Saccharomyces cerevisiae S288C: one gene and its partners. The gene in region 1 interacts genetically with each later gene. Each region holds a gene or a part of one and is shown in the gene's direction. Other genes may lie near its edges. The genes, in order: REX2, NUC1 and REX3.

Evidence for each region.
Region 2: mutations in REX2 (region 1) and NUC1 together harm fitness more than expected from each alone (negative genetic interaction), as found in Saccharomyces cerevisiae (2 studies listed by BioGRID).
Region 3: of REX2 (region 1) and REX3, changing one enhances a phenotype caused by changing the other (phenotypic enhancement), as found in Saccharomyces cerevisiae (2 studies listed by BioGRID).

Annotation. Positions count from the first base shown.
Region 1 is NC_001144.5:259,121-262,589, reverse strand, and holds REX2 (Rex2p), read left to right. Parts: upstream 1-2,042; coding exon 2,043-2,852; downstream 2,853-3,469. Other genes in the region: FRS1 (phenylalanine--tRNA ligase subunit beta), read right to left, coding at 1-1,611; glycine hydroxymethyltransferase SHM2, read left to right, coding at 3,189-3,469. UniProt on the Saccharomyces cerevisiae protein: 3'-to-5' exoribonuclease specific for small oligoribonucleotides.
Region 2 is NC_001142.9:39,632-43,149, reverse strand, and holds NUC1 (ribonuclease), read left to right. Parts: upstream 1-1,966; coding exon 1,967-2,956; downstream 2,957-3,518. Other genes in the region: AP-1 complex accessory protein LAA1, read left to right, coding at 1-1,761; CBP1 (Cbp1p), read right to left, coding at 3,181-3,518. UniProt on the Saccharomyces cerevisiae protein: This enzyme has both RNase and DNase activity.
Region 3 is NC_001144.5:362,106-365,864, forward strand, and holds REX3 (RNA exonuclease), read left to right. Parts: upstream 1-2,010; coding exon 2,011-3,225; downstream 3,226-3,759. Other genes in the region: REA1 (AAA family ATPase midasin), read right to left, coding at 1-1,633. UniProt on the Saccharomyces cerevisiae protein: 3' to 5' exoribonuclease required for proper 3' end maturation of MRP RNA and of the U5L snRNA.

The DNA of each region.
Region 1 (3,469 bases):
GTCTTCTTCAATCCAGTAACCTCTGCCAGAAGCAGCAGCACCGTAGTCTGCAATCCACTCTGTTCTAAAAGTTTGCATGATTTTACCCAATAACCCTTGAATGATTTCAAACCCAGAATTCTTACCCACGTAGATGGCAGCCCAGTGACGTTCATTGTACGCCTTCCTTTCTAGTTTGTCGTCTTTAAATACAACGTCACCGGTTTCAAAGACTTTGATTGGCAAGGAATGTTTTCTGTTTTCCTTGACTGTCTTTAAGATACCAGGCAATAAAGTGGTTCTAACAACTTGGTATTCCAAAGTCTTTGGGTTGGCCAATTTGACAGCTAAATCACCATTGTCGGATTGTCTTAGAAATTTAAAGTTTTCATCGTGCGAACATAAGGTCAATGGTAAAACCTCAACCCACGTGGCTTGAGAGGATGCAACTCTGAAAATATCAGAAACCTTGTTGATTGGTAATGGTTTGGCAATGAAGTTGGCATTGGATAATTTCTCACCCTTTGGCAAATTATTGAAACCATAACCGACAGCGGCATCTTCCATTATATCACAAGCGTGCAAAATATCAGGTCTAGTTACCGGAATGTCAACGTGCAAGATGTCCTTGTCTTCCTTTGATTGAACGGCATGCAACGACATCTTCTTTAGACAATGAGCAATTTCATCAGCGGATTGATCTAGGCCAAGACAGGAGTTGATGTACTTAATGGAGACATCCATAATTCTATCGTTGAAGTTTGGCGCCAAACGGGATTGGCCATTGTGTTCAGAGACAATTTCTACAGGCTCAACCGTGAATGGTTCGTCACAATAACGTGAGAACATTGTAGTTAATATGTTCAAAACGATCTCGGCTTTGGTCTTATCGGTGGCGGTTATATCAATCAAAATGTTACGGGTGTTCACAGAGATCTTCGAATGTTCACTATTGATTAATGGTGGCAGGGAGCAAACACGATCTTTGCTGTCCATAATAACTGGGAAGACTGGAGAATCCTCAATAATGTGAACGTATCTCCCTATGTTGTTTTTCTGTTCTGGAGATTTATAAAACTCGATCAATTTGTCACCAGTAAACTCTTGGGTTTGATTCAATGGTACGAACTTGATGTCCTTTGGTGGTAGAGCTCTGTAATGGAATGGACCTTCAATTGAATCTAAATCGTGAGTACCCATGGCAACCAAGCTTCTGTTTCTACATAGATTGGCATGTAATTTATCTTGCAAGGCAATAAAAGAAGCGTAAGATTTTTCGTTAAGCTTGATATTTCTCAATACAGCAGCGGTAGCAAAAGGTCTAATTTGCTCCGTTGATTTGTCGATGATCAACTTAGTGGTTGGCTTGCTTAATTTATAGTCAGGTCTTTCTTTACGTTCCAAGTATTCGTTCAGCGACTGTGAAATACCTTCGATACAAAGCAAATCGTAACGATTGGCACTGATATCAAGCTTCAATTCCGGCTCCTCCCCGGTTTTCAAGGCCTCCTCTGTGGTGTCTTCGTCCATTTCCATACCGAATTCAAAACATAATTCATCGAACTCTTGGGAAGTGTAGTTTTTGCCTAGAAGATCAAATAATTGCTGCTTGTTCACGGAGACGGTAGGCATGCTGGCTCGGTGTTATTGATGTGTGTTATGCTATTCTGCCCTATTTTTTGAACATTTGATCAACTCCAGGCTTTCGAGAAATACATTGAAAATTTTTCATTTCCTTCAATTTTCTTTCTTTTTTGGTACCGATTCTGAATAATCGGTCACCTCGTGTGTCGTGATAAATAATCAAGAAGATGTACTTTTATACAAGGGTTGTAGTCATCTGGGACACTCTCAGAGCACTGGCTCTGACGACAACCATCAAACGCATGCTCATACGTATAATTCAAGCCTTACATACACTGGTATTCCCTTTGGGGTGTTTCTTTTTCCTGTCAAGTTGGGCACTTAAAAGAACTAATAAAAAATCAGTGTGAACTTTTCGATTTGCAAAGAAAATGAAAAAAAAGAAAAGGAGCTTTCACAAATAAACAGAAGAGATCAAGATGAAGTGGTTGTTGTTTCCGGCAAGAATCGTAGCTCGCACTCGCCCAAACCTCTTCTCGCTGTACAGAAGATCCGTTTCACAGTACTTACGTCCTCGAACCATCCAAAACCTGCAATCAATGGCGCAAACACCCGAACTTAAAACCAAGCTGTTCAAACCCTTGGTCTGGATCGACTGCGAGATGACCGGTTTAGACCACGTGAATGACAGAATTATCGAGATTTGCTGCATCATCACCGATGGACACCTGGCACCCGTCAAAGCGGCCGATGGCCAAGGAGACTCGCATTATGAGAGCGTCATCCATTATGGTCCCGAGGTGATGAACAAAATGAACGAGTGGTGTATTGAGCACCACGGTAATAGCGGTCTCACCGCCAAAGTTTTGGCAAGTGAGAAGACTTTGGCCCAGGTAGAAGATGAGCTGCTCGAGTACATCCAGCGCTACATCCCAGACAAGAACGTTGGCGTCTTGGCAGGCAATAGTGTACATATGGACCGCTTGTTCATGGTCCGCGAGTTTCCCAAGGTCATTGATCATCTCTTTTACAGAATAGTTGACGTCAGTAGCATCATGGAAGTTGCCCGCAGACACAATCCCGCTTTACAAGCACGTAATCCAAAAAAAGAAGCTGCCCACACTGCTTATAGTGATATCAAAGAGAGCATAGCTCAATTGCAATGGTACATGGACAACTACTTGAAGCCACCACAGGAAACAGAGTCGGTCGAGTCAATCGGATCTGAACAGCCGGAGTCACCATCTTCATCTACCTCATCTTTGAAAAGACAACGCACCGATTTTTAATGTAGAAAAAAAAAAAGAAAAAAGAAGTGAAATTTTTCAAATATTTCACACACGAAACATGACTCCTGGTGAGAAATGACCCTTTCAGGTTGCTTTGACCATAAAGGTTTGACTCTATCTCTTGGGTTTCTCATGTTCGCTTTTTACTCTGTATAATTTTTAAATTCATAATCATCTTAGACCGAACCATGAGTCTTCTTCATCTTGTTTTATATATAATGCAGAACTTGCTTCCCTTAGTTTGCGTTCAGTAATCTTTCCTTCTTCTAGTGTAACCTTTACGAAAGATACTACCCCATAGCAAAGCATAACAGCTTAAACCGAATCCTCCTTAACATGCCTTACACTCTATCCGACGCTCATCATAAGTTGATCACCTCTCATTTGGTGGACACCGACCCTGAAGTGGACTCCATTATCAAGGATGAAATTGAAAGACAAAAGCACTCCATCGATTTGATTGCTTCTGAAAATTTCACCTCAACCTCCGTTTTCGATGCCCTTGGAACTCCATTGTCCAACAAATACTCTGAAGGTTATCCAGGTGCTCGTTACTACGGTGGTAATGAACACATTGACAGAATGGAAATTCTATGTCAACAAAGAGCTTTGAAAGC
Region 2 (3,518 bases), on another chromosome or scaffold:
TCCTTTGCTATTACTGTTGCTGCTGAAGTGTTGGCATCGAATATAATGCCACCAGATAAATTGGGAAGAATTTCACAATTACTAATTGACCTTCTTGGTAACTTTAAAGATCCTAATTCCGGTATACGGATAGGGGAAGCTATAATCGTTACACCCAAAGCGAAAAGAAAAATTGAACTTGCCGTTTTGGATGCGTGGGCTGAGGTAGTGCAAAGATCCATCACGTCGTCAAATGATGCGCTTTTCTCTTTTACCAGGAAATATTGGAGCATTTTAGTCCCATTATGGATCATTTCTTTACGTGAATACATGATGATAAAGTATAACGATAATGATTCTACTGTGCAAGTAAAGAATGACTCGAAAGAAAATAGTCTCATTGAACCAAGAAGTACGAAAATTGAGTTATATGAACCGGTCTGGTTAAATTTCGTAGAGGCCCTTGGGTGCACTCTGGATTCAGACGTTCAAGTCATTTTGGCATCTCTTAACGATGAGGAATTAGAGTATTTTCTTTTTATTTTATTTAGCCAATGTTTGGAGGCTATCGTCAAAAATATTGATGATCATTCAGTCAAGATGCAAGTTTTACCGGCTTTACACAATGTTTTGAAGAGCAATCTGTGCATAAAAAGTATATTTGAGGATGATATTATTACTGAAGTTGTTGAGATTATGGACAGACTGATTTCTACAGGCGACAGTAAAGAAGAATTTTTGCTTGTTGATATCATCAGTGACTTGATCATTGGGTATTCGAAGTGTAATGCTACTCCTGAAACATTTCTACAAGATATTGACAAACTATATGAGCTACTGCGACTACTGATGACAATTATTTCTGAGAGGTTGCCATTTATTAAGTATAACGTGCTTACCAGCGAAGAAGATGATAATGAAATAAAAATCTCTCCCACAGATATTAGTCTGTTGAAAAAAACATTTATTGCGTTCGAATCAAATATCAGTAACTTCGACAATATGTTCAAAGTAGATCTTTATTCATGTCTTTTATTCATCATAGGGAAAATTTATGAATGTAGTCATCGTGAAGTAATAATTCCAATCATACTCCCACTTTTCAAGGCACTAGTAAAAGCGCTTACGGAATCTGAGGACGAAAAAAATATTGTGTTACTAGAAATATTCTACGGGTCAATAAAAGATGTTATTTATCATAAGCTGGATTCAAAGAATAAAGTTGCAACCATTTTGATCTTGCTGTCTAATGGATACTCTAAGCTAAGTTTTCAGGAACTGAATCAGTGCGCAAATATTCTCTCGGAGGCATTGAATAATCCTGCTACGCAGCCAATTGCTCTACAAGGCTTCAAGAGAATAATATCTAATATTTTCAAATACCCGTTGTTGCAGTATTTTATGAAGTTGGTTATAAAAAGATTCTTTCAAGATATTCAAACAAACGATTCCTTATCGCAGGCAAGCATTAAAACTAAGTTGATAATTCAGTTTTCCGAGGAAGTAATCAAACAAGATCACCAAAAGGCATCATTGTCAATTGCTTTATGTCTTTCTTTCTTTGCCGCATATCATAGCGCATATACAGAGAAAATAGACAACGAAGTAGCAAGTGGCATAGTTGCTTTGGCTAAATTGGACAAAAATTCATTTAAAGAAGCCATTTCTAGCACTATAAGTCCTCAACAAAAAGCAATTATAGGTTCCGTGATGGAGGCATACGTTAAATCGCAGTCTTTGGGCTCTGTCGAAGAGGCCTTTCAACTGAAATCTTTCGACTAATTGCAAGTCGGATGCATATGCACGGAAATAAAACTCATCGCGAAAAAAGAAAAAAAAAATAAAATCTGTGAAAAAATATCAATGGTGCAATTGGTTATTGGTCACTCATCAAGTAATTTGTTAGTTTTTATAGAGTTACAATTGTATAAAGATAAGAACATTTAGTTAAGTTCCCCACTTATTAGATCCCAAAGTTAAAGTTATCATGTGCAGTAGGATACTCTTGTCCGGTTTAGTCGGACTGGGTGCTGGTACTGGCTTAACCTATCTTCTTTTGAACAAACATTCTCCAACGCAAATCATTGAGACACCTTATCCACCTACCCAGAAACCTAATAGTAATATTCAATCTCACTCTTTCAACGTCGATCCTTCCGGGTTCTTCAAGTATGGTTTTCCTGGTCCGATTCATGATCTGCAGAACCGCGAAGAGTTTATCTCATGTTACAACAGACAAACTCAAAATCCTTATTGGGTCCTCGAACATATAACGCCAGAATCATTGGCTGCAAGGAATGCTGACAGAAAAAATTCCTTTTTCAAGGAAGATGAAGTAATTCCAGAAAAGTTTAGAGGTAAACTAAGAGACTATTTTAGGTCGGGCTATGATCGAGGCCATCAAGCCCCAGCTGCAGACGCAAAATTTTCTCAACAGGCCATGGATGATACATTCTACTTATCCAATATGTGTCCTCAAGTAGGAGAAGGTTTTAATAGAGACTATTGGGCGCATTTGGAGTACTTTTGTAGGGGATTGACTAAGAAATATAAGAGTGTAAGAATCGTGACTGGTCCATTGTATCTACCCAAAAAGGATCCCATAGATAATAAATTTAGGGTTAATTATGAAGTTATTGGCAATCCACCCAGTATTGCTGTTCCAACGCACTTTTTTAAATTGATTGTTGCAGAAGCACCAACAGCCAATCCTGCTAGAGAGGATATTGCTGTCGCGGCATTTGTATTGCCAAACGAACCGATATCAAATGAGACGAAATTGACTGACTTTGAAGTTCCTATAGATGCTTTAGAGAGAAGTACTGGGCTAGAACTTCTGCAAAAAGTACCACCTTCAAAGAAGAAGGCATTATGCAAAGAGGTAAATTGTCAAATTGTAGTGAGAGATTTCTCTAACGCGGCGATCAAACAATCGAAAGATGTGAAATTGTTACCTCCTCCAAAAAAAAGGAATTGAATGTACTGAAAAACTGTAAATATAAATTAATTCATAACACAACGATAGAATAGCATGAAAGAATATAACAAGTCTAACGCATATAACATAAAATAATACATTTATTTGATGATCAAAAAAAGAAAAGAATTAGGATGCAATGCTTGGATTTAGTATATATTTACAGAAATTTGTTTTGTTATTATTTGCTTTGTTATTTATATCGTAAATGTGCGTTTGGCCGTTCATCTTAAGTAACGTTTGACAGCCGACACACCATGCTTTTTAATATCTTGTATGATCTCCTTGTTTGTTTTGAACTCTGAATTTCTAATTTGATGTTTTAAGATGAAATTCCAGTCTAACTTCAATTCCTCAATCGTCATACCGTTCTGGTATAGTTCTGCGCACGCCCAAAGAAAAATGTCTGTTCTTCCTATCTGCAGTGCGCTTAATGCAATATTCCTTAAAATAGTAAACCTGTTTTGATTATTCACTTTTAATTTGACATCACATGGGGAGGATGCAATGAATGGGTTACAGTTCGATTTTGTCCAGTATGTTTTACTTCTCTTTGCAGCAT
Region 3 (3,759 bases), 100 kb from region 1:
AGACAGAAGACTGGATTAGTTGGTCAGGTTTGTTGATGCCATTGTTTTTGAATAGGATGTCTAACCTTTCGCACAGCTTAATTAAATCTCTTACAGATACAACTCTTGTGTGTGCCCCCTTGTTCAATGAAATGAACTTGGTGTTCATATAAATACTTTTGACGTTTTTGTATGAATCGATTAGTTTGGGGATAAGGTTGGTCAAAATGGGAAACTTTTGGGCTAAAATGTGTGTCAAATCCTCTTCGCTAGGTTCCTCTAATTCAATAACATTCCAGATTCTCATACCAATCATATTCAAGTTATAGATCTTATTGGAACTATCCTTCTGATGATCTTCGTTTATTCTAACAGTTGATATTAACTGGAAACCATTTGCAGCCTTTACAGTCTCTCCTCTGGATGGAATGGTTAGTTCGCGCTTTTCTAAAAGCGATAAAAGTATTGATAAAACATCTGTAGGAGCTTTATCTATGTCTTCTATAAGTACCCATCTCCCTTCTTTGACCGCGGTAGCGAGAACACCAGCTCTCCATTCAAACGTGCCTGGCTTGTCACCAGAGGTATAAGTACCAATCAGTAACTTGGCATCAGTTTGTTCACCTAAATGAATTTTCACAATGGAGTCATGGCAACCCATATATTTACTTAGCTCATTGATTAAAAAGGTTTTACCGGATCCCGCTTTTCCAATGAGCATTATTGGAGTTGAATTTTGAATCTTTCTCCCGAGTTGACGAAGAGAGGAAACCGTTTTATGAGTAGGGACAAAGGTTAATGGGTAGAATACTTTGTCGTGGATAGTGTGGACCTTAGGGACGATAACGCCACAGATTGACGCGACCTTAGTACTCAAATCCTGAGGCTCAATAATGAAGTAGCTAGATTTTTTTTCTATAGTGAAACATTCTGGAACACTGGGTAGTTTAGAGAAATTTGCACATCTCTTAGCTTCGTTCAGTTCGAGGAAGCTGTAATCAATTCCAGAATCGCCCTCAAAATGGCCCAACAATGAATCGCGTGATTTTATATAAGTGTCGAGCATATCGTTTAATGTTTTTTCTCCCATGTCTAAGTATAAAGATAAAACCTTTAATGCTAGAAATATAACAACCTGATTTTCTTGTTCTTTGGTGAGTAAATCCACAAGTTGGTATAAAATGTCGGGTTGAATGAAGCGTGCAAATACTTCTTTATTGTGATATAGTAACCTATAGTATGCTAATAGTATTTTAAACATGTCGGAATCCTTTTGTGTGGATGGATTTTGAAGAATAGTGATGAAATGATCATTCTCTTTATCTAAATAGTCTTCAATTAATGGCATTGCAACGGGAAATATTGTAATTATACTTGCCAACTTTTCAATTACAAGAACGTAATCTTTTTTTTTGGAGTCCTTTATCCAACGTGCCACTATCTCTAAAAAAATATGTTTGTAAAGGAAAACATGACCAGTGATGGAACGGCTATGTAGTATAGTTCCTGCTAAATTGTCTAAATTCTCAGAAGTTGATTCCTTGTTGCTAAAGTGGAAGGGCGCTTCAATAGCATCAGAGGGAAAAGCAGAATTGAAGAGAATTAACCTTTGGTTAACTACGTCTAAATCTAACAAAATTCTATCCTGGGACATTCTCAGCAGATTATAACGGTTTTAAAAATAATGTGACCGCGTAAAGTAGAGGTACCTTAAAATAATAAGAGTAGAATTCGATGTCAAATTAACTCAGAGGTACTTTGAATCTTTAAAATAATCACTTTGGAGAGGAATGTCTAAAGTAAAGCAGTAAGTGATATAATGTTTTCTTTTCATAAAGCTAAATAGACCTTAGCTCATCGCTTCTTTAAAATTTTTCACTCGAAAAAGAAAAAATACCTCGTAAAGGGCGACAATAAATGATGAGTAGAAAAAGAAATGGAATAACGGTTCAAGTGCATTTAAAATCAATGCCTTGAATATGTGTTTCAGTATACATTCAGTTTGACTATATATCAAGAGAAAGCTTTAGTATGGGAAGTTTGTTGAGACCGGTTGATCTGGTAAATCAACCGCTTGGATTCCAAGAAAGATATAAAATTTTGCAGAAATTATTCAAGCAGCTACAAAAGGCATATGCACACACAAAAGGAACTAATATTGACCTTGAAAGACTTGCCACTCGCTTAGAAGTCCATGTTGCTAAAAACAGCTTGTCTGGTCAGAGTTACAAGTTTAACATGAGCATTTTACTGCGGGATGTGCTTAAATATAAAGGAGATCTCTCGAAGATCAAAATTAATGGGCGCCCCCTTAAAGGAGCTAAGCCTCATTTATCCTCAATTGGTAATGCAAACTCTATCACTACAAAATCAAAAGCGATGGAAGCTTTAAAGGCTCTGATTTTGGATTCGAAGGTCTTAGAGAAAAATGGGTATATTGTTAAGGAAATGCAAAATAAAACTAATGATGACAATAGTACGCAACTGTATGCACCTTGTTTGCGTTGCAGCTCAAATTTCAAAAAAACAGACATCATGGAAAAGACTCTATGTAGGTATCACCCTTTGAAAAGAATATACAACAGAGATACCAAGAACCATCAGTATCCATGCTGTGGTGAAACTACTGATTCCGTTTCTTTTCTAAGGCTAGGATGCAAGACGTTTTTTCACCATGTGTTTAGAGGAGAATCATATGACGAGTTATGCAAAATTTCGAAGTTTTCTAGTACAGATGACATTGATGGTGTTGAGAATGTTCTTTCTCTTGACTGTGAAATGGCTTTTACATCATTGGGCTATGAGATGATACGTTTAACAATTGTGGATTTTTTCACCGGCAAGACACTATTTGATCATGTAATTCAGCCAATAGGGGATATTGTCGATCTGAATTCAGACTTCAGTGGTGTCCATGAGATTGACCGAACCAATTGCCCGACGTACAAGGAGGCACTTGATGTTTTTTTATCCGAAAACTTAATAAATAAAAATAGTATTCTTATAGGGCACGGACTAGAGAACGATCTGAACGTCATGAGGCTATTTCATAATAAGGTTATAGATACTGCAATACTTTATTCAAGAACAAAGTTTAAGGTTTCTTTGAAGAACTTAGCGTTTGAAGTTTTGAGTAGAAAAATCCAAAATGGCGAGCATGATAGTTCTCAAGATGCAATAGCAACGATGGACGTTGTTAAAGTCAAAATAGGTATTTCTCCAAGTCAAAACAAGTGGGAAAAATAATGTGATCATATTCAAAGTTGAGCAGACATATATAGTTATTACATTTCATACGGTTCACATGAGTTTTATTAAGTAATTACGTTAAGAAACAACATGATAAAAGTAATGATTTCGTATTGCTTTCCTATTTTCTGTATTTAAGCGAACAATAATAATGCACCTTTTCAATATCTGAATATTAAAATATCGTGAAATTGGGTTCAGGATGTACCAAACTTGATGATAGCTGAAGCACCATAATCCTATTTAAAGAAGTACCTGTTATCCGTCAGTAATTACCAGAACAAGTTAATTTTAAGTTTAATCTAAAAAAGTATTGCATGCGGCATTAAAAGACAACATAAAACATCTAAACGGTAAAGTATGATCGATAATTCTCCATAATAGTTCTGTTATTTATAATCTCCAGCACTAATAAATGCTATACGTATATTTGTACACAATATAATTTCAGAATTTATATTGCTACCATGACTGTCTGAGAATTGGGGGAATAACTTGATAATTGTTGGGATTCCATTGTTCGTAAACGCA